Linked DNA regions of Oryzias latipes. The protein of the gene in region 3 interacts with the protein of the main gene of each other region in a pairwise test. Links are inferred from orthologs where the notes say so. Each region holds a gene or a part of one and is shown on either strand. Other genes may lie near its edges.

Region 1 (10,637 bases), on a different chromosome or scaffold from region 3:
CATAAAAACATTGAAACTGACGCGCAGATGGAATGTTTTAATGGCTTTCTTATTGTCAGAGTTTCTTAGTATGTCAATGTATTGTTTGACAAAGACAGAAAAATGAGGGGTATGATGTGTAACTTTGGATTTATAAATGTTCCATTTGCAGAAAAAAAATAAAAGTTTAATGATGTATAATTGTTCTTTTTTATGAGATGGACAGTGGGTGAGGCCAAACATAACATGTTCTAAGTACAGGTGAAAGTCTGGGTCAATGTGGGTGGAAATGAAATTAAAAACTTTAGATCATAGAGTAGTGGAAAAGGGACATGACCAAAATAAATGTACAGCATCTTCAGGGTGTTCTTGACCAAAAGAACAGGTTACATCAATATCTTCTTTGAACCTTTGCAGATATAGTTTGGATGGGTAAAATTTATGGACTAATTTAAATGAGATTTCTTTCACTTTATTGGTTAAAAAGTATTTGGGAATGGATACAACATCCTTCTGAAAGAGTGAGTGTATGCAGCGATTTGTGTTACATGAAGAAGAAAAACAAATTTGGCCTATTTCTAATTTAGTTAGGCCAATTGGTAACAGAGTTGGACTCCACAATGATGAGCTTTTGAATAACGTAGTTATACACTTAGGAATTGCTTTCAAAACAATGTTAAACTCCGTTTTAGGTAATTTGATGCAATATTTGAGGCAGAGTTTTTCATGTGACATTAAAGATCCGTTTGATTTAAACAGTTGATGAACCAGAAGGATGTTTTGAGTAAACCAAGATGGATAAAATAAGGATTTATGTCTATCTGATGTCTTTGCTGTTCCATATCTGTGTGGAGAAAAAATGTGTTTGTAAATGAGTGACCAGGAAGGTAAGATTTGTTTATGGAAGCAGGAAAGCTTTATTGGGATCTTTACCACATTATAGTAACAAAATAAAAGAAAGTTTATGGCTCCCAATTTGGAGAAAATGTGTTTAATTTTCTTTAGCTTACAAATGTAGACATTTCCGGGAACCAGGAAGTCGCATAGTGACGTCATACCAGGAAGTGTAGCCAGTACCAGCGCTACCCCGAGTTGCACATCTTTTCTTTTTTTTCTTTTTTACTACTTTTTTATTTATTTAACATTTTAACACCGATTTGTATTCAATGTAGTTTGATTAAAATAGGCTGCTACGCTGATGGATCGAAAGAACTTTGTGGATATGGACACAAAGAAAGAGGAGGATGCGTCTCCTGAAGAGTGGGTCGCGCTGTGTGACTTTACAGGAAGCGGCTCTGAGCAGGTTAGAGAACCCGCAGGCGTCAGCCTCGCATCTGAGCACCCGCAGCCCTGAATAACCTCCCCTCTCTCGCCCCGCAGCTGAGTTTCTACACAGGAGACAGGCTGCTTGTCCTCTCCAAGTCTTCTGCAGACTGGTGGTGGGCGGAGCTGCAGGGGGTCACGGGTTATGCTCCGGCCAGATACCTGCGCGAGGACACCGCCGATGAGGAAGAGGATGCTTCTATAGAGGACCCGTGGCAGGATGAAGAATACTATGGAAGCTACGGGACACTGGTTAGATATGTGAACGTGTTTTGTAAACATAATAGTTACTTTTTGTTTACTCTAATAGACTTTCCCTCAAAAAGGCTTTAATATTATTTATAACAAAGAGTACAGCATTAATTAAAAATAATCAAATTAGACAAACATCCCAGCTAATTTAGGATAAAACAGTTTTTACTTCAGCTGATGGAAATCAGAAGAGGTTAAATTATTTTTGTAACAAATGTCTCTTTGCTAGTGAAACTTAACTAAAGAAAGCATTATATAAAAATATAGTGTCTTTTAATGGAAAAAAATGGTTAAAGGCATGAACTTGAAAGTTTATATTTAAGTGTTAAAACAAAAATCTCAATTAAGTTTTTGTGTTTTTCTTTGAAATTCATCATCAAAGCTTGCTAAGTATCTTAAGACTAGGGGTCTGCAACCTGGGGCTCCGGAGCCACATGTGGCTCTTTTACCCCTCCATTGTGGCTCTTTTACCCCTCCATTGTGGCTCTTTTACCCCTCCATTGTGGCTCTCTGGTTAAAGAAAAATTACAAGTTTTTATTTTTCAAAAAGTAAGTAGAAAAGTTTAAAAAAATAGTTGACAGTCTCACAAGTCAAACTAAAACATTATGACAGAAATGTGTGTTCTATTGAAAATGAATTTGAGGTAAGTAATCACAATCAGAATTAAGGTGCACCAGGATTAATTATGATTTTTAAAGGGTTACTTAATTAGCTCTGATTTAATATTTGTTAATTAGGTCTACAAATTTTTGACTGTGATGCCCCACTAACAGTAAAATAATCTTTTTTTTTCAAATCACCGCTTACATAACACTTCCTACTGCTACATTTGCTGCATTGAGATGATCTTTTGTGACACATGGGGTATCTTACTTTGAAAGGGAGTCATACGAAACTTTGTCAAAAGTTAGAAATTGTTTCTTATTTTCAAAAAAAGGCTATTTTTTCATTTTATTTCATTTATTCCAAAAAACAGGAGTTTATTTTTAAAAATCATAATAGTGATGATAACATAAATGCAAATGTGGTTCTTACTCTTGTAAAGATTGAAATAACACTTTGGGTTGTCGTCAGTAAAAAATTGACCTGAATGGCTCTTTAAGTGTCAAAGGTTGCAGACCTCTGGGTTAGACAAAGAAATACATCAGGGGAAAGTAATCTAAGTTATTTATCTTCCTGCTCCTCTCATCTTATATCTTTATATTATTTAGGTTTTACACTCACTTTATGAATTATTTATTTGTTTACACAAATTCAATACATTTAGTATTCATACATTAACATATCCAACTAAACCGATCCCCTACTTTGGGTATCTTGCAATGTCTGACGATATCAAACGGCAAAGTCAATCAAAACAGCAAATCATCAGCTTTATCTAAATTTTTAAAGTGTTTTAACATAATTAAAATTGAAAAAAGTGATGGATGTTAAAAGCTAAACTTAATAAAACATATTTAATAAATACCGTAGTTCAATAAAAACAGCTCATGCCACAAATAAAATCCATAGGCAATCTAAACCTTTACAAAGACTGCAATCAGACCAAATAATGTTTTGTACAATTATGCTGCCTTTGCTCAGAGAGAAAAATAAATCTTACAAAAATGGTCAACAAATTGCCTTCCCAAACAAACCACAGCTGAGACCCACCCTGTCTATCTATCAAGCAGGAAATGCAGCTGATCTGGTGGATTTTTAAACACAGCTTGTTTGCATCCCTAACATTATTATAAAAAAAATGGTCCCATTTAAATAGATGCAGTTCTTTGCAGCAGGCTTGAGCTATTAACTCGAGTCTGACTTACTGCTGCCATATAAAGTTGCTGTGTCCACCTATGCTAGCCCACTTTGTGAAAACACTGAACCTTTCTCTCCATCTTTTCCTCGAAGGAATAGTGAAGGCCCAGCTGATCAACAGCAAGCAGGACAGGTGTGGTTGAAAAAGCAAGCAGGGCGGGGACTCTTTAGAACCAGGATTGGACATGAACATCTCTCTATTATTCACTTATTTAATATGTTTCAGAAGCTTCACCTGGAGATGCTGTCCGACCGGAGCCGCACTGAAACGTACAGACAGGTCATTGTCAGTAACAGCGCCTCCCTGAGGAACAAGGTGGTGATGGACCTCGGCTGTGGGACGGGCATCATCAGCATGTTCTGTGCTCAGCTGGCGAAACCCTCAGCGGTAATGTTAATAGGATGTCACATACAGTCAGATACATATGTATTCCACCACACTGCACTCTAAATATACCTTATGTAATATACGGCAAACACTTTTTTTGCATGAATATAATGCACACTCTGCTTCATTTACAGAGAAGCAAACAAGTACTGGTGGAATATTACCAATCAAAGTGAACTATTATTTCTATCTACATGGGAGGGAGGAGACTTTGTTAGGTTCTAAATATTGTAGAAAATGTACTGTTAGTTGGTTCAGATTTTATGTAATTCATACAACATACAATATATTAGACCAACATCTGTTTTGTTGTTAATTTTTTTACTAAATTCATTTAAAGAAGGACAACTTTATCCTAAAATGAGAACACTACTAATATCATGCTATTCTAAAATTGTTCTTAAACTTCTGTCCTAAAAGACTAAACACTAAAATAAGTCATAAAATCCTAAAAAAAAGAACAGTTCCTGAGATAATTGTGGTAATACTCCCATCTGCTGGTGAAGAACTTGCATGGACAGTTTGATCATGTTGGAAGCTGTTGTGTGTTTTCTAGGTGTATGCTGTGGAGGCGAGCTCCATGGCAGACTACACCGGACAGCTGGTGAAGCACAACGGCTGTGAGGACGTGGTGACGGTGATGAAGGGACGAGCCGAGGAGCTGGAGCTGCCCGAGCAGGTGGACGTCCTGGTGTCTGAGTGGATGGGGAACTGCCTCCTGGTAAAATGAACACCTTTAGTGCTGTCAGCGAACAGTTTTTTAGATTTCTGTGACGATGCCCGTCGTGTGTTTCGTCATCCAAGCTTGATGATGCTTGGTGTACACAGCAACTGTCTGGATTTGTTCCTTTTCTTGGCTCTAGTTTGAGTTCATGGTGGAGTCGGTTCTGGTTGCCAGGGACCGCTGGCTCAAAGATGGAGGTGTAATGTGGCCCTCCTCGGCAGCCCTCACTCTAGTTCCATGTCAGGCCAGAAGCTACTACGCAGAGAAAATGTCCTTCTGGGAGCGGCCCTATGGCCTGGACTTCACACCTCTTCAGTAAGAGTTTTGTGTCTGCTGTTGACTCCAAACTACACGGTGTCATAGTTAAAGACCCACTCCAATGAAAATAGTGTTTTTAACATGTTATTGTGGCGTCAAACTGATCATGCAGGGCACATTTAAAGAAAATTAAGCTCAAAACTGCAGTTTTTGAGTATTTTATTATTCAAACTGTTGCGAATCAGGAGGCAATAAAAAAAATGCTGTCTCAAAAAGAACTAATTTGTTAAGTAGAAAATACAGTTTGCAATTCACAAACTCCATTCTGATGCCTCCACTAGACAAATAGATCCATGAACGTCTTTGTTTTCCTCATCTGAGCTGGCATTTGGCTCAAAACCGTACAGCTGGATAGCTCCAATGTTGGTCGCCATTTTTGTTGCGTCTGTAATGTTAGGTCGGGGTTGTGAGGGGCTGTAAGCCAGCGGGAGAGCATGTTAATAATGAGCTCAGATATGAGTGATGGGAAGGGGGGTAGGGTCTCTCCCTACCAGCAGTCCCGCTCAAAACTCAGAGACTAATTTCAAATGTTTTTGTTTTTTTTCATTTTTGGCTAAAAACAGCATACGGTACTGATGATTTAAAGCCCGCTGTCTTTTACAACAGATCAAAAGATGATCGACTGTTTCTTTAAGCTATAACTTAATTATGAAGAGATGCACATCTTATTTCCACGAATTAAACACACAACAGGAATATCCTCATAGTCAGACACAAACAGCAAGGATTAATCTAAATGAACCTTTTTTGCCCTTTTATTTTAGGTTAAGAGCAAAATGTCAGAATGAAAACAGTTTTGGGGAGTCACGCTTCTGTATTTTTGGAACTAAAGGTTTGAACGTGTAAACATGGCAGACTACTATTTTAAAAAGCAACAAAGCCTCGCAATACCAACAAAAATTAAGTTTTTAAAAAATGTATTGGGGATCAAAATCCTGCTCTGTAGCTGGACTCATTTCTGTAATATTCCTCATGTGTGACTGTCACCTGTTTGTGTTGTGGCACTTGAAAACCGCAAATACTGTTAATAATCTTGTAGTTTGCTTGAAGTCTGAATTTCTCACAACCTCATTCTGGAACTTTTAAAAAGATAAAACTTCATATTTTAAATGCAGCTGACAGAGACAAGTTTACAACATTTCACACTTTATATTTGATTGTCGTTTTATGATCACTTTTCCTTGAGGAATTGTTGGACAATTATAGCAAGCACAAGAACTGAGAGTAGGGGTTTGCTTAAAAAGTTGTGATCATGTGTTCTTATCGACCACAAAATGACCCATCAACGGAAGGAAGTAGAAGTTATGTCAACCGTGGCAGCAGTTCACTTGTGTTTCCTCTTTTCCTTGGCTCTGAAGCTCTTTTCCTCTCTGCAGGTCTTTGGCACAGCAAGAGTTCTTCAATAAGCCTAAATTCAGCCACGTCATCGAGCTTAACGACTGTCTTGCTGCTCCGTGTGACGTGATCAGCATGGACATGTATGCCCTGCAAGTGAGAGACCTTGAGGTAATAAAGGTTTATTACTACATAAAAGCCTGTGATGTAACTTTGCAGGTTTTTTATTTTTTTGACCCTACTGAAGTTTCATTTATCAGGAAATGAGGGGGGAGTTTCAGTTTTCCGTGGAAACGTCTGGGCTCTTCCATGGATTCACAGCCTGGTTCTCTGTTCATTTTGAGAGCCTGGAGACCGGAGGCACAACAATAGAGCTAAATACTGGGCCAAACTCAGAGTAAAACAAATAAACAACAATTGTATTTATATTCTGAAAGCCAACATACGGCAAATAACACCTAATTTGCTGTTTCACGGCAGGCCGACCCACTGGAAGCAGACTCTTTTTATGCTGGACGAGCCGGTCAGTGTGTTTTCTGGAGACTCCATCACCGGAACCATCGGCCTGCACAGGAACCCCATCTGGAGACGGCACATGACCGTTACTCTACAATGGAACATCCGCGGCCAAACTGAGGAGGCAGACAGTTTCCAGGCAAACGTCCCACAGTGCACTCACCCACAAACCTGCAGTGGCACATTTTACACGAGCTTATTCACTTCTTTGGTTTTTTTTCCTGTCCGTAGGGTGGGAAAAAAAGCTTCCCAATGTGGAGGTGACAGACTGAACGTGACCACCAAGAAACGGTCTTCAACTCCATGCTGCTGCACAGAAGAGCCCCTGGCGGGACATCTGCAGTTCATAGGCGACAAACAATAACAGTAGGAACAAAATGCACCAACTCAGACTGAAGTTTCATTTTATTATGACAAGACTTGAGGTGAAAAAAACTACAGTACACTTTTATGGTTTTCTTTTACTCATCTACTGATGCACTATCAATATTTACAGTGTCATGTTGTGTGATTTAAGAAGACCTCACCTTAACTTTCCAATCTGAGTTTTTTGTGACTTCTATCTCGGTTTTGTCATCCCATGTTTACAACTTGAGTCAACCAGGAAGTTTCTGATTATTGAAAAACTGATTAAGCTTATCCCTAAATGTTTTTTCAGTGAATTTATCATTTTCTGTTCACTCAAATCTTTTCCTGGGTGTTTCAAAACGTTGACCGTGCTTGTAACATCTCTAATTTAGTGTCATGAAATAGCGGAACAATAAAAAATACACTTGGTTTTAAGTTGTGTCTTCTTTGTCTCAACAAAGTCAAATATTCAAAAATGTTGAAAGAAAGTGACGACTGTGGAGTTGCTGCACATCTGTCTTTGTTTTGTATCCTTAAGTCTCGATCTTAATCTTGGTTTTGCTTTTGGAGCGTGTGCTGACCTCGGAGGGGGAACCCTGAGAAGAGAAGCCCTCAGGAGAAAGTTGCCGGGAGATGGGGACGAAGAGGGGGGGTTTGACAACTTTCCCTTTCACGTCCTTGTTTTTCTCCTTTTTCTGCCTCAGGTGTTTATCGCAGTGGTTCACAAATGTATCCAGCTTGACAAAAGTCTTGTTGCAAACCTTGCAGTGGTAGGGCCGCTGTCCTTTTTTCAGGCGCACGCGCAGCCGGATGTAGGAGGAGCGCACAAATGTGCGACAGCAGACCCCACACTTCAGATCCTCGGCGCTGCTTTGCGCCTCCTGGGGCTGGCTGAGCAGAGGGGCAGGGGCGGCTTTGGCCTCCCCGGAGGCCTCCTCGGCTTTGTGAGAGAGCAGCAGCGACAAGGAGTGAAACGCCAGGCCGCACTTCTTGCACTTGTATACCTTCTCCTCAGTGTGCAGGCGGACATGCGCCAGAAGCCCGGCCTTCTGGGTGAAGGACTTGCCACAGAAGGTGCATTTAAAGGGTTTCTCGCCAGTGTGGAGCCGGCGGTGCGTCTTTAGGTGTGAAGCCCGGCCAAAAGTCTTCCCACAGTCGGGGCACTTGAACGGCCGGTCTCCACTATGGATTTTCTTGTGGGCCACCAGGTGGGAGGACTGATGGAAATACTTGTTGCAGATGCCACATTGAAACTTCCTCTCTTTGCTGTGGGAGGCCAGGTGAAGAGCCAAATGGGCCGATGAGACGAACGTTTTGGAGCACAGGCTGCAGCTGTGCGGATCCAGGCGGATGCGCCTGTGGGGTCGCTGTCCATTGGGGGGGCTGCTGCTGCTGCTCCCACCGCCGCCCGCCTGGCAGGACGGGCATTTGGAGGGACCGTCTGTTTTACTTGACGGGTGCTGGGAGGAATCGGAGGCGGTGGAATCTGGAACGGGGCCCGGCTGAAGTGGGATGAAACTGCAACCACAGTCTGAGCAGAGCCCAGAATGCTGCGCCTTCTCACTGGTTTTCTCCAGCATCCTGCCATCTACAGCGTCTTACACAGAGGATCTGAGAGCGGAGACAAACACATCATGATGGTTCAAAGATGCAGAGCATTTCTGCGTCCTCTCCATTTACTGGATGAGAGAACTGGACAGAGCGAGTGTGACATCACCCAAAGACAATGACTTACTTCTGCCTCCAACCAAATTAAGTCAATTCAGTCGTCATTTTATTCGCGGCACGAACGTCGGCACGTTGGAAGCAGACGCCAGTTAACAGTGATTGGTCCGAGTCAACGTTTCTATGGCAACCACTCTCACCAGCTATGAGTAAGTCCACTGAAAGTGGATTTGGGAGAATCTGTCCAACATTTCGAATGTTCAATGTGAGACCACATACTTTAATTGAGGCATCTGATTGGTCCGTTTTTAACCTGAACACTAGCGATAAAAACAATGTCAAGGGGAAATAATAGGATTAGCAAGTAGATGTTAAATACAGGTGACTGAATAATAGCTGTTTATTTCTCAATAAAAGTCTATGGGATTTTGGCTTCTTGGAGACTGTGGGTACTTCCTGTTTGGAATGTAAAGAGGGTGGAGTCACTCAATCCAGTTCTTTTTTATTATTATTATTTGTCTGCAAGTTATTAAGGACATGTACCTAGTGTAACATACAAACATGTCAGAGCAAATCGAAGAATAAAACTGTTTTACACCCGACAACAAAACAATGAAGCAAAACATAATTTAAATAGAGGTCTGGTAATTTGAAGTAATACATTTTAAAACTTTAGTCTTTTCTTTTAAATCATTTTTGATTATGCATTATTCTGTAGGGCAAATATAGGATGTTTCCTGATCATTTTCTTTTCTGCATATTTTGCCAAAGTCCAGTACCCCCATACCATCAATGGTCCTCTCATGCAAACCTGATTTATGCATCTTTTCTTCTGCGGTACTTCCTGTCTATGTTGCGTCCGCGCGCTTTCACTGTGACACAACTCGTTCTATGGATGTAACACAGTTTTAACCCAGACATGAATATTTGAAGGGGGAAAAACAACGGCTTACTTAGCAGCTGCCGCATGAACGGCAGGCCCCGCTTGGCTGCGAACAAAGCAGAGGATGAGGCTCCAGAAGAGCAGAGAGACGGCGATAACCGCCGTCTGTGTCAATTAAACAACGAGTCTCTGATTTGGAGGTGTTTGTCCAATTATAGTGCACAATAAAACAAAAACACGTCACAATGGCTGCATTCATGGGGCTCGGGGAGCTCGTATTTCTTCGCTTCTGTTTGTGTTTTCATGGGCTGAAAGCGGACAGCAGCATCTAGCGAGCGGCGGTGCAACTTTCACGCAGAACAGAAATTCACGACCTCGTGCGCTTTAACGAGCGACTTCCGCTCATCTATAAGTTTCGTTTTACCCAGCCCGGGGTAGTTGGACGAAGCTGGTTTCAGGTTGGACCATTGTCCGTTATTTGCCAAATCCTGATTTCACACGAACATGAAACCTTGAGCTTATTCCAGAAACCGAAACAATAGATAATTGTAGGCTGCATGTTGTTCTCATCCATGATTTTGGCCGGAAATCTCTATAAAGAAAACAACCCTGTCTACAGTTTTTTTAAGGCCGATATTATTTACAAGTAACCTGCGACTAAGCACAAATGTATGGAGGATCTTTTATGCCATTATTCCAAATTATTAAGTGCAAATTATTTTACATTTGAAATAAAAAAATACGTGCAAACAAAAGAATTGTACTCTTGAAACTTATAAATGTATACTATAAAAAAACGGAGCAGGGCACTGTTACAAATGTGCCACAAAGCCAGCCAATCACAGACATGAACATGAAAGTTGATTGACCGTCAGTATTTTAACCACTGACTGTATAATATACAGTCAATACTGCCATATCCCTTGTGCTATCTTAGATGACCCCACCCTTACATTGACATGGTCTCCCTACCATGACAAAGGTGGATAAATGTGGAAAGATTTCATGTAATCCATGGACACCAGTGAAGATCACAAATCATTGAAGTAAAAAAGGTTCATCGCACTGTCTAGTGGGTCTAGATGACCCAACTCCCAATGTTAAA
Region 2 (10,399 bases), on a different chromosome or scaffold from region 3:
TTCCTGTCAACATGACGTAAGTCTTGAAGCAACGGGCTTTTAACAAATAGCAAAATATCATTGGCATAAAGGGATCATTTATAAATAAACTCCTGTATGAATTTCTTGATGTATCATCTCTCTTAGAGGTTTGATACAAAAAAGGGTAGAGGGTAAGGTCTGACTCCCCTTTATTTTATTTTCTATTATTTAAAAAACTGTAATGTCCAATCATTTTTACTTTGATTTAGAGTTCTTGTACAGGCATCTAAACCAACAATTACATGTTTTTCCAAATTCGAACTAATAATCGAACTTGCAAAATGTCCAATCTATTTTGTCAAAAGCCTTTTCAGCATCTATGTATTGAAGTATTAAAGTATTGAATACTGTTTTTTTTTTCTTTTTCCACTGTAGAAAAACACAATAAAAGCTTAGAAAGCTTATTCTTGCTTAAACATGTCATATCATCATGCTTCCAATGATTATAAAATGCTGAACAATTACTCATTTCTGAAGCGTCGTGTTTCACCCTAAAACCAGCAGATCACAACGTTGTATTAGAGTCTCTTATGCAGTCAATGGATCAAATCATTTGGTTGATCATACCAGACTTTGAATGAGTGATTTTTTGTTTAGGAGAGGGGTTTGCAGTGATGAAGCATCAAAAGCATTTTGTATTCATGATCTGGTGTGTGACATGCTAATCTCTGAATTGAACTTTAACCTGTTTTTTGTTTATTTTTATAAATAATTGGACATGGAAATGCATACACGAGGTGCAAGTTAAGAAAAATGATCAGATGCACATACGTGTCCAATATGTCTAAACAATAAAATAGTAAAATAAATGAAATTTTCATTCGTTTTTGGTCATTTGCCAGAGGCAAAGTGTCAGAAATGAACAGGTTTGGTTAACTCAACGGTGACATCACTCGACTTGCTCGACAATCGTTTAGATCCGTCTGAATTCGTCAGGTCAGAGGTCAATGTGCGCGCGTCCTCAAACAGAACCTCTGTCGATTCGGAGACAAAAATATTAAGTCATGTTCACCTGTTTGTTTGGAAATAGTTGATATAAGGACTTCGGTGATCCTTACCTTATCTCATTGTTATCCTCTGCTCTTGTTGTTTCGCCTGGCTCGCCCCGTTAGCCACTTTAGCTGGCTAATGAGGGAATCGCCGGCTAACAGTTTCGACATTAAGCTATCTTAGCTTAAGTTAACCGAACAAGTCTTTGCTTTGAAAGCTACCAACTCAAGGCAAACATGCAGGAGCTACTAGCAAACGTGGATCACATCAAGTTCGACCTGGAGATCGCTGTGGAGCAGCAGCTGGGAGCGCAGCCTTTGCCGTTTCCCGGCATGGACAGTAAGTGCATGGATGCTAGCTTATGCTAATGCTAGCATCTTTTTTTGTTGAGAATAACCATAGTTTTTCTCAGGTTCGCCCTCTTTGGTTTCTGTTATTTTTAATAGAAACAACACGTTATAATTGTCAGTTCAGTTATAATGTTGTCTTTTTGCAGAGTCCGGCTCAGCTGTGTGCGAGTTCTTCATGAAGGGAACGTGTATGAAAGGTAAAGCATCTACAGTCAGAAGCATCTGTTGCGCTGCTATTATTATCTGCATTTAACAGTTTTAAATGTTCAGAAACGTTTTATTTGGAAGGAAACTGCAATGTTTACATGTTGTTGGTATCGTTTGTCATTTTAGTACGTTGTAGGCGGGAACCAGTTTACTATAACTTTTTTATTACAGAAATAATAAACCGCTGAAAAAAAGTTCTTTGATAAACTAAAGAGGTGGATACAACTATTTTTAAATATTTTTCTTTCATTTAAAATGGTTAATGGTGATTATTATTATTTCTTTCTGGATATGTTTGGTAAACTAAGTAAATTTAAACTTTTTTGTTTTCTTTGCAAAAGTTTGCTTTGAAATAATTATTCTTTAAAACCTTATTTGCATTCTATTGACAAACGCTAACTTGTAAAAAATGTTTAAAATAATTTTTAAACTTTATGAAATAACTCTTTAATAACCTTATTTCCTTTTTCTTAAATAATGAGCCAGAGCTTTAGTTACAAACTACTGCTGTTTGTAAAATCCTGATTTCATTTTTTTTTAATAGATGACTTACACTGATTAAGATTTTTACAGAATTTAGTTGGGACATTTGCCCGTTCGTGGCTTTCACTGTCGTGATGTTCAGTTTACCTTTTACAGCTCTATATTTCATTAACTTCTTGTGTTTTATTGTGATTTTCTGTATGTACTCAGTGTCACACTAAGGCAGACATGAGCAAAATACGGCTAAAAGGTCTGGATGTAATCATTTATGTAATCATTATTGTCTGGCCTTCTTACTTTTTATTTTGTCCTGTTTATGTGCACCCTAAAACCTGTTTTACATTTCTGGGGTTACAAAGAAGGCAGTTCTGCAGAGACTTTATTTTTAATCGTATGTCTATATTTGTGTGAGGTTTTGGTGGGTCACGCTTTCATATAAAAGTGAGGAAAACGATCCCTGCATGTGTCGTATGAATCCACAAAGCTGTGTCTGTGTCTCTCAGGTGGAATGTGTCCGTTCCGTCACATCAGCGGGGAGAAGACGGTGGTGTGTAAGCACTGGCTCAGAGGGCTCTGTAAGAAGGGAGACCAGTGCGAGTTTCTGCACGAATACGACATGACCAAGATGCCTGAATGCTATTTCTACTCAAAGTTTGGTGGGTTCACTTGACTTCCTCGTTTAAAACGCTTTCCATTGCTTAGCACGCAGGTCTGATAGATTCAAACTGTGTGTTGGCTCTCAGGTGAGTGCAGCAACAAGGAATGTCCCTTCCTGCACATCGATCCAGAGTCTAAGATCAAAGACTGTCCTTGGTACGACAGAGGCTTCTGCAAACACGGTAAGGTCCAGCCCAGTGTCAGGTTTTCGTGCTCTGGATTCGTTGTAACCCACATTTTTACCGTTTTTATTTTTTATTTGATTCGGAAAGAGGCTTTATTTTGAAAAATTTCTGAATTCTCCCCACCACATCTGACTCATTCTTGACACATAACAAATTGCTCAGTGACGTGCTGACAAAAACGCAAATGTTCCTGGAAAGTTTTTTTTGTTCATAGAGCATATTAAGTGAGGAAACAGAAGAAGAGCCTTTATCTTCAAAATACAAGAAATCTGCATTTGAACAGACAAAAACCAGGAGTCTTTACTGCAAATGTGGATTCATTGTGACAGTTGTTCCCACACGCCATAACAATGGGGCATCATATTCAGCAACCTGCTGTGTAATGTTACGAGGATGTTTGCAAATAACGTTGCTGAAATGGTTTATTAGTATGTTTAGAAAATACAATTTTTAGACACAATTATTTTTCATATTTATCTGTCCTTAAAAGTCAGACGAGGCTGAAGTTGGAATTCGATTTTTGTAGCTTCCACTTTGACAGTTATGGATTAACGGGCCTGTATCCTGCTTTTCTTAAGCCTTTCAGGGTGAACTATATCCATAGAAATACAAATATTTTACAGACGATGAAGATAAACTTGACCCTCAAAAGTTAAAGGGAAACTGAAGGCAAAGATAAAAAAAAGTTGGTCGTCCCTTTCAGTCTCATACAGACTGCTGTGTGAAAATATTGACTGTTCAATCAGACCGGGGCCTGAAAAAAGTTGGGAACCACTGATATAAGTAATCTTCATTTTGTTCTCCTTCCCCACTAGGTCCTGACTGCAGACACAGACACACCAGAAGAGTGATCTGTGTGAATTATCTGGTGGGCTTCTGTCCAGAAGGCAAATCCTGTAAATTTATGCAGTAAGTAAACATTTCTGCTTTCAATAATGGTGTAATTGGTTTGGGTAAAGTTCTGAATGTGAGCGACATCATGTGATGATAAATGTTCCTCTGCAGCCCGCGGTTTGAGTTGCCTATGGGAACATCTGAACAGCCCCCTCTACCACAGCAAATACAAAACCAGGGAAAGGTGCGAAAATGGATCCAAGATTCAGTACCTGCAAGTGCTTCAAGTATTTCTGGGCTTCAATGGGATTTTTTTTACAGCTCTCTGTTCATTCTCTGCCACAGACTGCAGCTTCCAGCGGACGCTCGTCTCTTTCTCTCATCCAGCTGACCAACTCAAGTCCAGGCCAACGCCAGCAGAACAACACAAACATCATTTCTCATCAAAACAACATGAATGCCAACAGAGGACCCCGACCTCTCGACCAGGTCACCTGTTACAAGGTGAGTCGCCTGAGGCTCTGCTCTTGTTCTGTCATTGTTCTGCAGTGAGGAACATTAGCAGTTTAACATAAATCAGGGCTGTAATGTCTGTGTTTATCTTACAGACAAAAAATAGAATTCAGGACTCTCTGTGGGTTCAATCTGTTCGGTTTTATTCTTCAGTTTCTCTCCGACATACAGTCCCAGTGCATCACCAACTCTTCTTTGGAGTCTCTCTCCACATCAGTACCCTGATGCTCCACCTACCAGTGCCCTCTTCTGGTCATTTCTAACATTACAAGCTGTTAGCAACGTTTGACAGGGGTGCTCATGACGTCGAATGCGATCGACCGGTCGATCTTCAAAGACATGAGGTTAGATAGCAGGCCAGCAAAGACAAATACCGAAAAATAAAAAAGTGAATTAAAAAAATCCATCAGCAAATCAAAATCCTCACGAGAAGTACGGCACTTGATTGACATGGAGAACGGCCAATCAAATATCCTCAGACACATACGTCACTGCACGTGTGTGTTTAAATACACTGCGCGCAAATTCTGTCATCAGATAGTCACTACTTTCCCCGCGCAAAGTGTGAGCAACCCTGGTTTATGACAGGAAATGTTCTCCTGGACATTTGTGCCATCACCAACTATAATGCAAACTCTAGTATACAAAAACATTTCCAATATATCAGAAATTTTATTTAATTCATAAATGGCAGGTGGACGGCAGCTTTTTGAAAACCCATTTTGGCATTAACTCAAAAAGTGCTTTCATAACAATACTGCGCAAGGAAAATAAGTCGAAATAGTGTTGTAACTTTTGGGGTCACAGTAACAGAGCTGGGTTAATGAAGCCTTTCCTTACGCCCCCATAGGGAAAACAAAGCTCATTGGAATTGTTTTTTCAAATCCAAAAAACATGTATTTTCAGCTATAAAATCTGCTGTCACAGATGTTAAATTAAAGTAATTTTGGAGCAGATTTTTCGATAAATGAAAACGGTTTCCTTTTAACTGATTATTTAAACTAAACAAAGGTGCAACTTTCTGAATAAAAATTACATTGATTTTTTTTTGTTTTTTTTAAGCTACAATAGAAATTGCCAAAAAAAAATTGGTAATGGATTTGATTAACTGACAATGCATATTAAAAATAAAATTCATTTTTTTTTAAGTAAAGCCCTAATGCACAATTTATGAAACTTGAGGTTCACAGCTCCTCCCAGAATGTAAAAGATCAAGTAATAGTTGAGGCCATATCATGCTGGTTTAAAGACCCACATCGATGAAAACAATGTTTTTGGTGTTTTAAAAAATGATTATGGAAGACAAAATTGCATTTCTGAGGTTTTTTTCAGGATGGAGAACAGTTTTCTGAGAAAATACAATGGGCGGGCCACAAGCTCCATTCTGATGCATCCACTGTCAGACAAATGGATTCATGAACATCTTTTTGTCTGAGCTGGCATCTGGCTCAAAACTGTACAGCTGGATAGCTCCAATATTGCTCGCCATTTTTGTTGCAGCACTAATGTTATGTTGGGGTGTGAGGGGCTGTAAGCTTGCAGGAGAGAGTGTAAATAGATGGGTGACAGGAAGTGGGGGTGGGCTCACTCTGCAGCAGTGGTCCCACCCCCAACTCAGAGGAGAAATTCTAATGAACTTCTGCTGCACTGCAGAAATTATGTCTCGGAAAACAGTTTTGTTTTTGTCTAAAAATGGCATAATCATAATGAAAAGACCACTGGGAATGCTTTTATTATAGATCAAAAGATGATCAGTGTGATGATCAAGTGTTTAACACTTGTGCTATCTTAGATGACCCCACACTTACATTAACGTGTTCTCCCTACCATGACAAAGATGGATAAAGGTGAAGATTTTAATGTAATCCATGGACACCAGTGAAGATCACAATAAAATGAAGAAAAAGGGTTCAGAGCACTGTCTAGTGGGTCTAGATGACCCAACTCCCAATGTCTAAGTGCCTAGGATAGCACAAGGGATAAAACCTGAACTTTCAAGTTTAAATTTGCATTTTGTGCTACATTGTCTTTATGAATCATGTATTTCCTTCTCTGATCTTTAATGGTTAAACATTCTGAAATAACTACAAACTGTTATCCTGTCTGCAGTGCGGTGAGAAGGGCCACTACGCCAACAAATGTACCAAAGGCCACCTTGCCTTCCTGAGTGGACAGTAATTTGGGCTGCAGTGTGCTGCCTCAGGAGATGGAAGGACGCCCTCGTCCTCACGGTGAACAGACTTCAAACTTTCTCCTGTGGGAATTCACACAGACGAAACCTGATTTTTGCAGGATGTGGACGATAGAAAAGGTTTCAGTTCGAAGTCTGGACTCAAAGATGTGCGCTTTAAAACGATAGTTCCAGTTCCCAGCCTCTTTAAAGGTGCCATTGCGATTTTTTTTCTGGTAGGATTCTCGTCAGTGCTTCACTGAAGTGCTACTGTCTGTAATTTCCTAATAAATCTGAGTGATGACCCATAGTGGGGATGTCAACACAATCAGTGTGTGTGATTGAACACTTGAAACTTGTCTTTTCAGCCATTGTCACACACAGACTGGAAGACGTTCCTGTCAGAACCACTGATATTCAGATCTATTACTAAACAAACTCACTGGAACATGAAACTGGTATTGTCTTTAATTGGTCACATTAATACAACAGAGCTGAGCATAGAAGCAGGAGGTGCCAGGATGTGACGGTTCACCCCGATGGCTGCTGGGACTCAGTGGTACTTCCTCCAGCGATCGTGTTCTACCAAAAAACAAGATGTTCAGCAAATCTGGCAAACCAAACCAGGAAAAACGTAGTTCAGATGGTAAGAATCTCACTTATGTGGTCGTATTCCCACAAGTAGCTGATGGCCACGTATCCGACCAGCAGCATGGCCACGCCGCCAATGCCGCCCTTCTTCACATTGATGTACTTGTTGTAGTATCTGTCGTGGCCTGAAAGCAAAAGGAAAAACTGCTTTAAGGATTAAGAGTCTAGAGCTAAGTGTCTCTGATTTGATGATTTAAAGTTGTAGGGGTTATTTTTTTTTTCAAAGATCAAAATACAACAAAAGTGGGTTTGAAGTTTTTTTTATCGTGACAAACTTCCAACCTTTACTTTTAGACCACTTATAGTTTTTTCTTTTCTAATCTAAAGCTATTGGGGAAAAAGATCTGGTCTAGAGTTCTGTAATTTAACATCAAAAAACCGTAGGAACACTTTAGAGAGCAATCCAAACAATATTGACCAGAAACTTCTAATAGCAGAACCCATATGTAGACAAAGCCTACGGTGATCCACAGTTTACAACAAAAGCAAAAAAAGACATTTTAGTTTCCTTGAACCTGTTTAGTGAATTTGATCACTTTGACTGCAAAGCAGCAGAAGAGAGAAGAGAATCTGAAAAAGGAGATGAGACACGAAGAAATGGAACTATTTAGATTTTGTGTTCTGTAGCCATTACCATGACAACGCGGGACACCGCGTTTCAAAGAGTCCACAGGAAAGAGGAGCGCTTGCTGGTTTCGACTGCGCGCTAACATACAAGCAAAGCATTGTGGGATTTGTAGTATTAGTGGTACAGTATATGATATACATTTGTTATGATCTCACAGGCCAACTATAATTACACCCCGGGTGGGCCGGGCCTGAGTTTGACACATGGGCCTTACATAAGGAACGATGCTCGACGAGGTATGCATTATCAGAAAACAATGGACGATGCAGAAGCCTGACCATCCAAAGCGAAGTGAGATTGCTACTGTGAAATAAAGCATCAGTTCAGAGGGAAAGTTACTGCATGTTTTTGTCCAGATGATGAAGCTAAAGTTTGTTTCAAAGAAACAAAGTCTAAATTGTTCAATTCCCCCTCATGTCTCTTCCTCAGATTATTTTCTCTCTCTTCTGCTGCATCCCAGTCTTTAAAATGACCAAAAACCAAACAGGTTAAAGTAAACTATAAAATCACTTGTCTTTTCTACTGTTTTTCTGTTGGAATAAACTGAGGAATAAGTTCCAACAACCTATGTTTTTTTAAATGCGTTTTAAACATGTTAATAATTGAAACACCAACAGGCTTTTTGCGAAGGGGCAGTGCTATAGAACATTTGGGCCACATGACCAACATCTTTTCAAGGTGTCTGTTATTTCTGTGGTACATCACTTTTTAATCCACACCCTGCATCCACTCAGAATATTGTGCCAATTTGTAATTAATGGCGATTAATGTCATAATTTGGCAGCCCTACTTTTAACACTTCACAGCAACTTTTCATTTTTTCATCTGCTGATGCAAATACCAGGATTTGATAGGAGTTAAAACTCCAGATTAGGAAGCAGATTTTTATGTTCTACAGTCATGACTATTGGATAAAAAAATACAGGTTTGCACCTAAACCTTTGAAGAAAAATGGTCCCATCTTTAAAAGAAAAGGAGAGAATTAACACCATTCGGGATAGCTTTTTATTGGATCAATTGGTTTCCACTTTAAATGTGCCTCATCTATTTAGCAAATTTAAACAACCATCCTATTTGAAAGCTTAAACTTTTTTTATTTTTAAACAATTGTATCTTCCATTTGGTTCAGTTGGAATCACTAATTACTTTTTAATAATAAAGAAATGTTTTTAAATGACATTTGAGTGAATTATTACATCTTTAAATAGTAAATTAAATGGATTTAGTATTTGCCATTTTTCCATGTTGGTGTTTTGTAAAGCTAATGATCAATCAATAGGTAAACAAGTTTAAGTAAAGGCAAACAATGACCAGAAAAAAGAAAAAAGAAAAGAGCCTAAATGTCAGATTCTATCTGCGTTACAATTAGCTAAATTTGCCATGAAACTAATAAGACGTAAGGCTTGGTTTTGAGCGTAAAGTGTGTCTGTATCCAGAACTTTTCCGGGTCCCTGGACAGAGATAAGGCTGCAGTCAGTCACCTCGGCGGATGGCCTGCAGGATGCCGTTAGGGGTGAAGTCTCGCCCTCCCAGCCAGCTTCCCAGCTCTCCCAGTTTCACATCCATCAGGCGCTTCTCCACCACGGGAACTAAGGATGTAGAAACAGAACGTTTAAGCTCCAGGAAGAGTTTGAGCACCACCTGAGGAAAATCATGGAACCAAATCGCCAACATGCACTCATGAAACCGCTCTGCATGTATTGACATACATAGCTGTAAGTTAAGGGTTTAAGGCTAAGCGGCCAACCCAAAAAGAATACAACTGTTTAGCAAACTAAACATGTGAAACAACGACATTGAAAATGTTTTATTCAACCAGATTGTCTAAATATTGATTGATAAGCGCCGGATACGGATAACTTAATCGGTAGTTCTATCGGTGTCAGTGAGTCGAAGACCTTGAAATGAACCGGACGGTTAGCATGGCCTGCGTTCACCAATAAAACTCAAATGCGCTTCTCTTTCCGTCTTTAGAATAGCTCGTAGTCGCACTCAACTTTCACATAATCCATCTAAAATTCGTAATGAATGCAAACTAAAGAAACTCTCTCGATTTTAAAGGCAGAGGACATATTACCTGGTCTGTCCGCCATCGTGACCGGAGATCTGTTGCTAAGAATGATGGGAAAAATTGAAGAGGTGCATTATGGGTTCCCATAATGAGTTTTTTAAATTCGGCCACTAGATGGCGCCAGATGGCACATCCTCGTGTTTCCGCCAATCAGCTGTCATTCACTGTAAAGAACAGTTTTTGTTACTATTTCTATATTTTGTTTAAATGTTCATCTTTTTTTAAATGTATTTTTTTTGTTATTTTATTTGCTGATTAACATCCCCAAATCCAAGATTAGTTTCCTCTTAGCTTTTATAATTTGAAATATTAAAGAAATGAAATTTCATTTAGCAATTTTTGTATTTAAATTTTAAATTTCAGCTTTTTAAAATGACTGGATGAAAACCCAAATTTTCAGTTCACCCTGTCTGCAACCAGGATTGACCTAATGTTAATTTTCAAAAGTGTTGTCAAGATATTTTATTAGTAATGAAATGTATTTATTTGGTTTAAGATTGTCCAAAATTGAGTTGAAAATGTTCTAAAAAATTGGATCAAAAATTTCACAATGTTTATGTAAGTTGTAATATCATTTTAAGTTAAGAAAAATAGAAATTATGGTTGATTGGTTTGTATTAACATCTCTTATTACAAGAA
Region 3 (10,693 bases):
GAAAGCATATAAAGACAAACAGTCTGCTGGAGAAGGAGAATAGTACAAAACAATGAGGGAGGAGGAGAAAATGTGATCCAGAGACATTAGGGGCTTGAAAACATAAAAGCATGCTTTAGAAAAAGGTCACATTATGCTAGGACAAAATAAAATACATCGTTTTTATTGTTTATTGATGTAAACAGATTGCACAAATCCTTGTTAGATAGCAGTAAATGTCATAATTAAGTAGAACCAATGGGATTTATTAAACAGATAAAACAATATCAGTTTAAAATCACAAAGACAATCAGGACTAAAACTCTCATGTTTCTGTAATAATCACCTTAGTTAATTATCCTCATGGATCTCCGTTTTAATGATGTAGTTTGGATATCCTTAAAGCTACAGACACAACGGGCATGTGATGAGAGTTCAAGAACGTGTTAAACGTGGGTTCTTGAACTCTCATTTAGCCTACAGTTTCACACTGAATGAACAGGGAGGGGCTTCTTCTTCTTTGTCTTTTTTTGTTACTGTTTACTAGCTCATGTCCGCCGCCTGTTGGAGCTTGGTGCGAAATGTCGAAGCGGTGCAAATCTTGCTCCAGGCTTTTTCTTTCACAGCTTTGTTCTGATTTATCTGGAAGACTTGGTGTCATTTTGTTTTCTGACAGAGCAAAAACGGCAATTATAAGTTTCTTCTCCTCTGTCAATTTTGAAACGTTTGGCACTTCGGGGAATTCAAGGGGACGCCATCAATATGTTACCAAATCCGAGTACCTAATTTGTCAAAGTTCAACCTGGTTTAACTTTCAATAGTCACACGTTTGCACGTGGAGCCTGAAAACGGTTTTAGAAACATAAATAGCTACACGTGAACACAAGCGTTTTTAACCCGGAAGCCCAAAACCCATGATCACATAGACTTTTTATTGGAAGTGGCTGCTTGTACGCGTGTTGCTGAGCCTGTTGGGAACGTAGCTTTAGAAAAATAGTTGCAGTGACTCTGACATGAAAAGCCTGATCGTTGTGGCATTTCAAATGTGAACTTCAAAACTTATATTACAAATGAAAATGGTCATCTTCAGGGTCATTTTGATCTCAGCTTTCTGCTGGTTATTTTGCATGCGTGACAAAATACTGTGAGCTGTTGGTTTTCGACAGTCTAATTTGCATCAACAATGCAGTTGACGTTTGAACGACATCCATGGTCCCATGGAATTACTATGGCTTCAGGAAAACCACAGCCATTTGTTTTAGAGCACAATTAAAACATTGTAATATCTGCTAAATGTTTTTACTGTCTGTCTCCTCAACAGAAGCTTCTAAAGAAGTTTCTAAATCTGATCCCAAGCTTTCTAGATACAGAAAAGATTTCCAATCAATTTTATTGTAGAGAAATCAGGCACAAATTGAAAAAGAAAATTATATGAAAAAAGAAGAAAAGAAAAACTAGCAGCAATGTACTAAAAAAAACTAAACATGTTGCTTTTGCTATAGCACAGCAAATAATAAATGTAGCTCCCAAGGAGGTAAAATGTGTAAAAATAATGGTTGATGTTTTTCTCAAGGTAAGATTTAAAACCATTTAAAAGCTCAAATTCAGAAATATTTAAAAAGTCACAAACAAACGGCAATAATTATGCACTATGCCCACTTGCATGTCCTCCATATCTATTTTTAAAATTGTTCCAAGTTGTCTTTTAATTGTGATTATGTTGTTTTTAGCTTAAATTAAAAAAAACATCAGTTTTTTCTAGGACATATTTTAACCTCTAAGTTTTGGCAGGACTATCGGCACAGAGCAACCCCACCCCCCTTCCCCTTCCCGTTGCTGAGAGTTCGGAGAAAGGAGCTTGTGGCCTTCCCAGCATATTTTGTAATTCACAAATACAATCCTTTTCAAATTACTTTTTTTGTGTGCTCCTGATTTACAAGAATTTGAATAAAGAAATTCTCAGAAACGCTATTTTTTTTAGCTTAATTATCTTAATATATGTTCTCATCCATCAGAAAAAGGCCATAAGGTGTTCAAAACATCCAAACCCTGAGTGTGTCTTTAAGTCTTACTGTTGTCCCTGGACATTTTTTGTGGATCTTCTGCAGGGCCTTTACATGTTTGCTGTTTTCATGTGTGCAAGGCTGTGATGAAGCTGCTACACATCGTGAGGAGGTCACATCAATGGACTCCCTCCTACACTCCCGTCAACCAGGATGCTCCTGCCAAACAACTCCGGGGCTCGCTGAAACCTACGCAAATGCTCCTGCACATAATTAACACACAGAAAACACAACAGTGTCACAGTGACTAACAGAAAGAAAGTCACAAGACAGCCAGGAACCAAACCAACTGCTTTCACACTGCAACAAGACAATGGTTGTGATGATGCTGTACATCAAATGAGCAAAATGGATAAAAGATGGAATTTGAAAACATAAATATAAGAAATAAAGATGAAAGGTAATGAAAATCAACAGCAAAAATAGAAACCAATGAGAGAAACTGGAGAAGAGGGAGAGAGTGAGTAAAATAAATGCAATTTCTATTATCAGTTTAACGGACAGAGCATTAGGATCCCTGTCTAACGCTCTCTGGAGTGTAGGTGCATGTGTGTGCCCTTAACTGTGTTTAGAGAGCCACACGTAATTCTCACATATGATGTGATACAGCAGATGCTGGTGATATCAAGCCCTGGCTCAGATAGAGTGAGGAAAATCAATACAGCTACAACTATGATGTTACCACCTTTCTCCCCCCCTACCCTCACACTGAAAAAGTGAGGACCACAAATTGTCTCCTAGTGATTTTTTATTGCAGGCCAATCAGTGCATATGTCCATGTTGTGCATGACTGTTGATGTGAGCGCTGCATTGAGTAAGTGATAGCAGAAAAAGGGGAGAGGAGAGTGAAAGAATCCAAACATTTACATTAATTTGCTGAAAACCTAAAGAAGCCCTACTCAACTGGCCATAAATGCATTAACAGTCCTTTTTACATTAGCAAACACAGTGGGAATCTTGAATGCTTCTTGATGCCATAAAGTGGTTGAAGTTGCAAGGAAGTGGGGAAAAATAATAAATATATTATGGCTATTTATAAATTATAAATAAAATAAGAACTTTTTAAAACAAACATGTATTTAATCAGAAACTTGGTTCAAGAACAAAACTTTGCATCTGTGTTCATAATAGCATTTAATGCAAGAGTTGTTTTTTTGTCCCCGAATCTAGAATCACTTAGTTTCCCCAAACTTTGCAAGGTAGAACTCATTGATGTCATGAGTAAAAGTTGCTCTCATAAGACAACACTTTTAAACTATTTTTTTATTTTGTTTGTCACCCATCCATGATACAAAGTTATAGTAATATTATTACATGTAGTTTGTATGATCAATCTTCCAACTCAGCTCAATCCATTTCAGGGTTGCAGGGTTGCTGGAGCCTATCCTGCTAACTATGCGGCGAAGGTGGGGTCATGTCAGTCATGGGCATGTAGTAGATATAACTTAGTTTTTGATTTTAAATAAAGTAAGTTTAGTCAGTACAAAAACAAAAAGTTGAATCCCAATTCTGTCCTGTTGGCCTTATTAATGACCCAAATAGCTGCCATCAGTGCAAGAAAGTGCTTTTCCCCTCATCAAGTGCTATATAATTGCATACTATTTACTATTTTGAAAGTAAAATTGCTAGAGTTTTTTCAGTTTCAAGCTCTGAAAAGTGTGTGGGGTAAAAACTAGGGCAACCGACAACATTAAAGGTTTTCTCTCCATTGGGACACATGGCGCTAAATCATCCACTCCAGTAGGGGGCGCTCTGCTTCAGTTGTACACCGTTGCTGAGCTTCTGCAGGACATTCTCCGGAGTCTCTTCCGGGTTCACGACTCGTAGACGTCTAAATGGATCTGAAAGAACCCAATTCATGCGTATATTAATAAAAAAATAGCGTCCTCCGAAAAGTAGGACTTTGTAATAATTCTCAGTGGTACTCTTTTGTTGGTGGTTTTTCGTAGGGTCTCGCTTATACTTTCAGCTTTTCTGAGCTGGGCGAACATGTCTGCGGAGGAGGCGGACAAAACGACCACCACCGATGCTAGCGCCGGGGACGAGGAGGAGGAATGGTTGTATGGAGGTAAATCAATTAACTACAAGGAAATGCAAGTGTCGCCTAAAATGACCGACATAAAAAACAACAAAGTAATTGTAGTTGGTTTAACTTCAAATTAGACTGGAAGGTAAAGCAGTTTAAAAAGTGCGCTGTCTGTCTGTGCTAGCTGGGTAGCTAGTTAGCAATCTGCGCTTTGGCCTTAAGCAGAAAGATGACTTAAAAGCAAGTTATAAATATATATTTTTTTATTATAATTATTATGAGCTTTACATTCTTTATCACTCTGCCATGCGTGTTTTTTCTAGGGCTTTTGCGTACACAGTCAATGATATCAAGTCATATTAGTTTACATGTGTTGTTATCCGCCCGGTGATAATTAATGTTTCTTTTCAGATGAGTCCGAGACCAAAGAGGAGGATGAAGAAGGAGCAAAGTTAAACACGGATGTCGGGTAAAACACAAACACCATTGAATATCATTTACAAAAAGAAAAAGAGAACCATTTTGATAATTTAGGGGAATTTTCCCAAAACAATGACTGTTTTACATGTTTACATGTACATGATGTAGCCGTTTAGCAGAAGCTTTGCGTGGTCTTTTTTTATGTGATAAATGCTTGTAAAATGTGGGTGTATGAATTGAATTTCTTTAACTTATGTCAGGTAGGTGAACCCTTAAGTTTGATTAAATTCTAAATACATTACATCAAAACTCAAGACTTTTTAGCTCTAAAACTTTGATCGGTTATTTCATTTTCCAGTTAAACATCTGACATAAAATTATATCATTAGTAAATCTCTTAAAATAAACCATCATTGTGGAAATTAGGACAAATAAAACCAAGACCTTTTGTTGTTGTTATAGAAAGCTTTACAGCATGTCTAACAGTTTATTAATAAACCTGCAGTGCACCAGCTGATGCTCAAGCAGAAGATGCTGCTCCTGAACATGCAACAGGAAACGGAGTTGCGTCTGAGGTAGCCTGTTTTTATTTGTTTCTCTCCACCTGTCTTTTTTTCCTGCATCTTTACTAAATTGGAGGCTTTTTTTTCTCTTTTTCCCGACATTTCAGGCCACTGGTGAAACTGCTGGTGAGGATGTAGAAAGTGACAGCGACAGCGATGATGACGACGATGACGTCCGCGTTACCATCGGTGACATTAAGACCGGAGCACCACAATACACGTAGGTTTGAGTCCAGTGGAAATATTTACAGTTTCTCGTAGTAAATGTTTTTGTATGAAGCTGTTTTCTTGTTTTTAATTAATGGCAAGAAGAAATGTTTTGTTGTTTTTCGTTTTTTCTTATCCTTTTAAGTTCTAACCTTTTTTTTGGCTTCAGATGGCTTTATTGTGGAAAAGACACCGGTGTCAGAAGGTGTTACTTTTGATTTTGGACTTTCAGCAAAACACAGGCAGAACAGAGATGTAAAAAAAAATAAAAAAATCTCCGGTTTCCTTCCTGCATCTGCTGGGTTTCTTGTTTCCTGTCAGGCTATGTTGTTGTTTGGGGACATAGAGATGTCTTCTGAGTTGACGTGTTGGAAGTATTTAGTGACCCTAACTTTAGCTGTTAATGTTGCATAAAAATGTGAAGGCTTGAATTTTTGAAACAATTTCTGTATTCAATTTTATTCCATAAAATTTGATGTGGTTTTCTTTTTTGAATTAGTTTTAATGGACCTGAGTGTTTTTTTTTTATACAGGTTGTAAAAGTCAAATGATCTTTGGTTGCAAACCCAGCAATAATCTGTTGAATTTTAGCGATGGATTTGTGATTATTTATTTTACAGTAACTGAATAATCGTGGTAAATGTATTCATGCCAAAAAAAACCTGGCCTGCATTATTTTTTGTATTTTATTAGATAATTAATAAGTATTCTATTTTTGTTGCAGGACTTACGGCACTCCACCTGTTAACCTCAACATAAAGTCAGGCTCCAGACCTTATGGACAGGGTGCGTCTCCAAGCTGTTGCAACAATTATTTTCAGTTGTGTTTGAACAATATTCCTCTTCTTTCTTACTTTGTAAGCATTCAGCAGCATTTATTTTGGTTATTCTCAGTGTCTTCAAAGCTGAAAGGGGTGGATCTTGATGCACCAGGAAACATCAATGGCGTCCCGGTGCTGGAGGTGGACGTGGAGTCCTTTGAAGAGAAGCCCTGGAGGAAGCCAGGTTTGTAAAAGTCAAGTAAAATGGTTTTAGCTATACTTTTTAGGGTTATTACTGTCTTTACAAATTAAAAAAAGATGGATAAATGTGATGCAATAAAAACAATTTCGTCACTATAAAACATCAGCTCTGCCTTTTTTTTAGATGAAAAGCCATTGATAGTCTTTAAATATTGTAAAAAAAACAACATAAGGACTAAAGCATCTTTGGGTATTCATTTTTATTTTTTTAGACTTTCTCTATACTTAACGGTCTTAAAAAGGTAGAAATATCATCTTCAGTCACTGAAAGCGTCTTTCTGTGTGCAGGAGCGGATCTGTCCGACTACTTCAACTACGGCTTCAACGAGGACACCTGGAAGGCATACTGCGAGAAACAGAAGAGGCTGCGAATGGGTCTGGACGTCTCGACAGTCGGATCTGTGACCAGCAAGATCACTGTGAGACACAGCTATGAATTGTATTCCTGTTCTTTAGCCCACACCCTTCAAACTCCGGCCATACATGTAATCAGCAGCAGGTCAGGCGGATTTCTCGAGAAACCGACTGGATGCTTGAGGCCTGGAGTCTGACACCTCTACTTTAGCTCAAAGCCCTGATTAATCCAGACTTTCATATTTATGAAACTGTTCTTCCTGCTGAAAGGTTTATTTTGATTAGATATTTTTAAAAGCATGAGGGTTTCGTATTTTGATCTAACCTGAAGAACAAAAGGTTTCATGTTTATTGCGTTTTCAGTCTGTGCTGTGTGGTTACAGTAGCTAAGATGTTGATTTAAGGCTTTGTGGTGAATGAACATCCATCCATCCTTCCTTGATGGTAGAAATCTCTTTCTGTAGACCTGTCAGGGTTTTCCTCCTGCAACCTGTTAAACTATAAAACCAACGGCTTCTTGCAACACCAGACTATAAAGCATCTTGTCTAACAATGTCAAGAGCCCGAATAAGATTGATCACAATGTGTGTTTGTGTGTAAACTTATAAAGCAATAAATCTAGCTGAAAGCTGCGCCGGATGCCCTGCCTGTACAACGTCCTTTACAGAACAGATAAGAAAGTGGATGCAATGTGTGTGCTCTCCACAGGAAATTTGTTTTAGCATTTAGTGTGTTAATCAATGGCAAAAAGAAGAAGCAAAAACTAGTTAAATGTAGACAAAAGAAAACATTTTTAAACATTTTAAAGGGACAGGAAAAGCTATCTGCTTTCATTTTCCTTTATGCATCTTTTTACCTGTATTCATCTTCATGCATCAATGACTCAGATTTTTCTGTTCTACTCTAAATATAAAAATCTTCAATGTCTTAAAGTGTAAATCCACTGTCTGTTCAATACCTTAATCTGTTTTGGCTGACAACACTAAATATCTTCTTCTGTAATATATGTCAGAGTAGCTTAAAGTTCTGGTAAAGTAATGCTACCTTCATCATGACGGTTGTGTTTTGTGTCTAGGTGCAGCAGGGCAGGACTGGCAATGAGAAGGACATCTCCAGCTTACCTGTTCACACGTCTAAGACAGACTTCCCATCTCCAATCAGTCTGTACAAGTCTGCCATCGGTCAGGTCGCCAGGTAACACCTTCCTCTTTTTCTTCTTCTTGTACCCAGAATTTAGATTTCTTGTGACCGTAACACAAACTGAAGACCGTTCTTTCCTAATCCAAAGTAGTTTTAAGAATTTAAATGACAAAATTTACTTTCTTTTTAAAATATCTCAAGGTTATGATCTAAGATTCAAAATATAATGGATTTTATGGATAGTAAAGATAATGAGGAAAATAACAGAATCAGATATTTTTTCTAATCATTGTAGTCAGAGAAATCTGTCCAACTGAAACTCTGCTGTTGACATTCTTCTGACTATTGTAGCTCTTCATCGGATTCTGAAGGAGAGAAAAAAAGCAGCTTTTCCGCTTTCATGTTACATTTTACATTAGTAATATACTGCATATCTGTGCAAAGCTGATGTGAAAAGCCGCTTTTCTCTGAGTCAGAATCAGCTGATTCCCGTTGATCGTGTCAACGGTAGAAGAGTTACGGTGCGTACAAGAACGTGTGTTCTGCAGGCGTCACCGGGGACATCTCCCGTGTAACAAGTTTAGTGCAAGAAGTGATGAAATTTTATGGAACATTTATTTAATTGAAACTCTTTTAGTTGGTGTTGTATTATGTTTTAACATTTTAGCTGTTCCAGGTTGTATTTAGGTGGTGCTTCTTTGATATTTCTTGATATTTTTGATTTCTAGGAAATCAAGTGGGACCATAGATGTGATTGGTGGACAGACTGCCACCATCAGCAGGGTAGAAGGGCGGCGCAGACACAATTTAGATGGAAACAATATTCAGGTGCAGAAAATGAACGCTTGAAAAACATTTAAATAAAATAAATGAAAAGTCTTCTGTAAGCGTTTCATTTGCTCACTAAGGACCTCCTGTTTGCTCTGCTGCTCCACAGGTGATCTCTGAACACTCGACGTCAGACACTGAACCCGCCGCTGCCAAGATTCCCACCTTCTTCCCACCTGGACCAATTCCTCCGAACATACCACCACCCCCTTTTCTTCCTCCACCCCCAAATGTCAGCACTGCACCTCCACTCATACCCCCACCCAGTCAGTTTCCTCTTTTCTTATTCTCCTTTATTTATACATCAATGTTTTGCATTAAGGGAGTTAACTCCATCCTCCTTGTTTTCACATCTTAAGGATTGCCCATTACTGTGCCTCCTCCTGGATTTCCTCCTCCAACTGGTGGTCCTCCTCCTTCTATAATCCCCACTATGGACAGGTAACATGCAGACACTCATACAAAGTTGGATGTGGAACCACTTAAAGGGCACCTTAAAACTAGAAGAAGTGTCATTTCAACGATATGAAGTTAAATATCAGAAGAAAAGTTCACGTCTGTTTATGGAATCTAAATGTTTTGCTGCTGATGCTGCTTCTGATTAAGATGTTCTCTGTCTAAAGGGAAAACTGACATGAAAAAACAGAAAGTTAGTTTTTTTTTTTTTTTTTTTTTTTTTTTTTTCAACTTGTCCTGTCCAACAGCTGGGCAGGCAGATGAGAACTGAGGGCCTCTTGTGTTGGACATATTTTACTTTAACAAGAGGGGTTATTTTTTCATACAGGTAGCACTGTCAAAATGCATAAAATGATTTTTTGAACCAAACAAAAACTGTCATGAAAGTAAAACACAAATCATCCAGCGAGAACAATAAATGCAGTAGAATTTTTTTATTACATTTTAATTTAAAATAATAAAAAACCTTACTAGTCTGCGCAGGTGATGAATTAAAACAAAATGTGCTTAATTCTGAAGAATAGAAGGCATTAAGGAACTAATCCTTTTAAAATAAAAGTTAAAACAAAATTCTTTTTTTGCTAATTTTACCTCAGAATAAATACATAGAATTTTTATTCGACATTTAATTTAGTTTTTCATAATGGAGGCACAGCAGGATCTCTCAGATGTAATTTCTTGTTTCTTCCGCAGCCATGCTGGAGGTTATGACGGCCGCTCTGTTCCTCCATATCCATTTCCTCAGGGTAAAACTCCACCCTACCCCCCCAGCTGCACTGCAGTATTTAAAAAAAAATAGTCTTTTTCTAGAACATTTTTGGATTTCATTTCCCACCTTCTGTCCTTCCAGGTGCTTATCCTCCACCTATGGGCGGCGGTGTCCCTCCACCGTGGCCCGTGATGATGGACAACACCAAGCCCTGGGACTATTATCCCCGTCGAGAGGATAAGAGGGAGAAGGAGAGAGACAGACCCCGGGAGAGGACACACGACCGGGAGCGAGAGCGGGAGCACAGCCCCTCAGCTGTGAACTACACCAGGTCAGCGATGCCAACCTCTCCGCCTCCACCATCGGGCAGAATTTCATTTGAGCCACTCTCAGTTTTTTATAGCAATGCGCCAGCTTGATACATGAGACGGGTGTCTGTCCTGATCCTCTTCAGGACACACAGTCATTGAAGAGGAGACTGTCTTCCTGAAAGTGCTAAATTTACCTGCTGCCTCCTTCAAATAGGCTGCTTGCTTTTCATTGCCAGGGTGAAACGGGGGCAATGACTTTTGCGTGTGTCTGTCGCCATAGTGACGAGGAGCGTTATCGCTACCGTGAGTACCAGGAGCGCGTTTATGCAGAGCGCCACCGCGACCGGGCGAGCAGAGAGAAGGAGGACAGACACCGAGAGAGACGGCACAGAGAGAAGGACGAGGGGCGCCACAAATCTGCTCGCAGGTAAACCTTTGCACACTGCTGCTTCCCATCAAGACTAGCGACAGGAATGCAGCAAAAACACCAACTCCTCATCCTGCATACTTTAACCCACGGCGGCAGACTGGGACCGGTCTGTGGGACAGTTGTTGGTACCTGGCCGTAGAAAGCAAAAAACTATTAGCACAACGCTGCTTTTCTCAGATTTCACA

Evidence for each region. The genes of interacting proteins can lie anywhere in the genome.
Region 1: the proteins of pre-mRNA 3'-end-processing factor FIP1 (region 3) and prmt2 interact in a two-hybrid assay, tested with the Homo sapiens proteins (2 studies listed by BioGRID and IntAct). The link is inferred for Oryzias latipes from reciprocal best matches to the Homo sapiens genes FIP1L1 and PRMT2.
Region 2: the proteins of pre-mRNA 3'-end-processing factor FIP1 (region 3) and cpsf4 interact in binary tests that used the Homo sapiens proteins (3 or more experiments, as listed by UniProt). The two-hybrid records come from large-scale screens. The link is inferred for Oryzias latipes from reciprocal best matches to the Homo sapiens genes FIP1L1 and CPSF4.

Annotation. Positions count from the first base shown.
Region 1 is NC_019879.2:19,641,795-19,652,431, forward strand, and holds prmt2 (protein arginine N-methyltransferase 2), read left to right. Parts: upstream 1-932; 5' UTR 933-1,177; coding exon 1,178-1,282; intron 1,283-1,359; coding exon 1,360-1,554; intron 1,555-3,581; coding exon 3,582-3,743; intron 3,744-4,299; coding exon 4,300-4,464; intron 4,465-4,606; coding exon 4,607-4,782; intron 4,783-6,161; coding exon 6,162-6,291; intron 6,292-6,367; exon of another isoform or gene 6,368-6,380; coding exon 6,381-6,517; intron 6,518-6,600; coding exon 6,601-6,775; intron 6,776-6,867; coding exon 6,868-6,900; 3' UTR 6,901-6,976; downstream 6,977-10,637. Other genes in the region: zinc finger protein 436-like, read right to left, coding at 7,518-8,564. UniProt on the Homo sapiens protein: Arginine methyltransferase that methylates the guanidino nitrogens of arginyl residues in proteins such as STAT3, FBL, histone H4. Acts as a coactivator (with NCOA2) of the androgen receptor (AR)-mediated transactivation.
Region 2 is NC_019866.2:19,276,668-19,287,066, reverse strand, and holds cpsf4 (cleavage and polyadenylation specificity factor subunit 4), read left to right. Parts: upstream 1-932; 5' UTR 933-1,247; coding exon 1,248-1,350; intron 1,351-1,507; coding exon 1,508-1,558; intron 1,559-2,554; coding exon 2,555-2,707; intron 2,708-2,794; coding exon 2,795-2,890; intron 2,891-3,708; coding exon 3,709-3,802; intron 3,803-3,898; coding exon 3,899-3,971; intron 3,972-4,072; coding exon 4,073-4,231; intron 4,232-6,349; coding exon 6,350-6,418; 3' UTR 6,419-6,738; downstream 6,739-10,399. Other genes in the region: atp5mf (ATP synthase subunit f, mitochondrial), read right to left, coding at 6,964-6,992, 7,070-7,186, 9,171-9,278, 9,767-9,782. UniProt on the Homo sapiens protein: Component of the cleavage and polyadenylation specificity factor (CPSF) complex that play a key role in pre-mRNA 3'-end formation, recognizing the AAUAAA signal sequence and interacting with poly(A) polymerase and other factors to bring about cleavage and poly(A) addition.
Region 3 is NC_019859.2:11,135,932-11,146,624, reverse strand, and holds the start of pre-mRNA 3'-end-processing factor FIP1, read left to right. Parts: upstream 1-3,828; 5' UTR 3,829-4,031; coding exon 4,032-4,110; intron 4,111-4,479; coding exon 4,480-4,537; intron 4,538-4,993; coding exon 4,994-5,063; intron 5,064-5,158; coding exon 5,159-5,271; intron 5,272-5,982; coding exon 5,983-6,044; intron 6,045-6,152; coding exon 6,153-6,263; intron 6,264-6,568; coding exon 6,569-6,699; intron 6,700-7,709; coding exon 7,710-7,828; intron 7,829-8,502; coding exon 8,503-8,602; intron 8,603-8,711; coding exon 8,712-8,868; intron 8,869-8,961; coding exon 8,962-9,043; intron 9,044-9,751; coding exon 9,752-9,804; intron 9,805-9,908; coding exon 9,909-10,098; intron 10,099-10,358; coding exon 10,359-10,505; intron 10,506-10,693.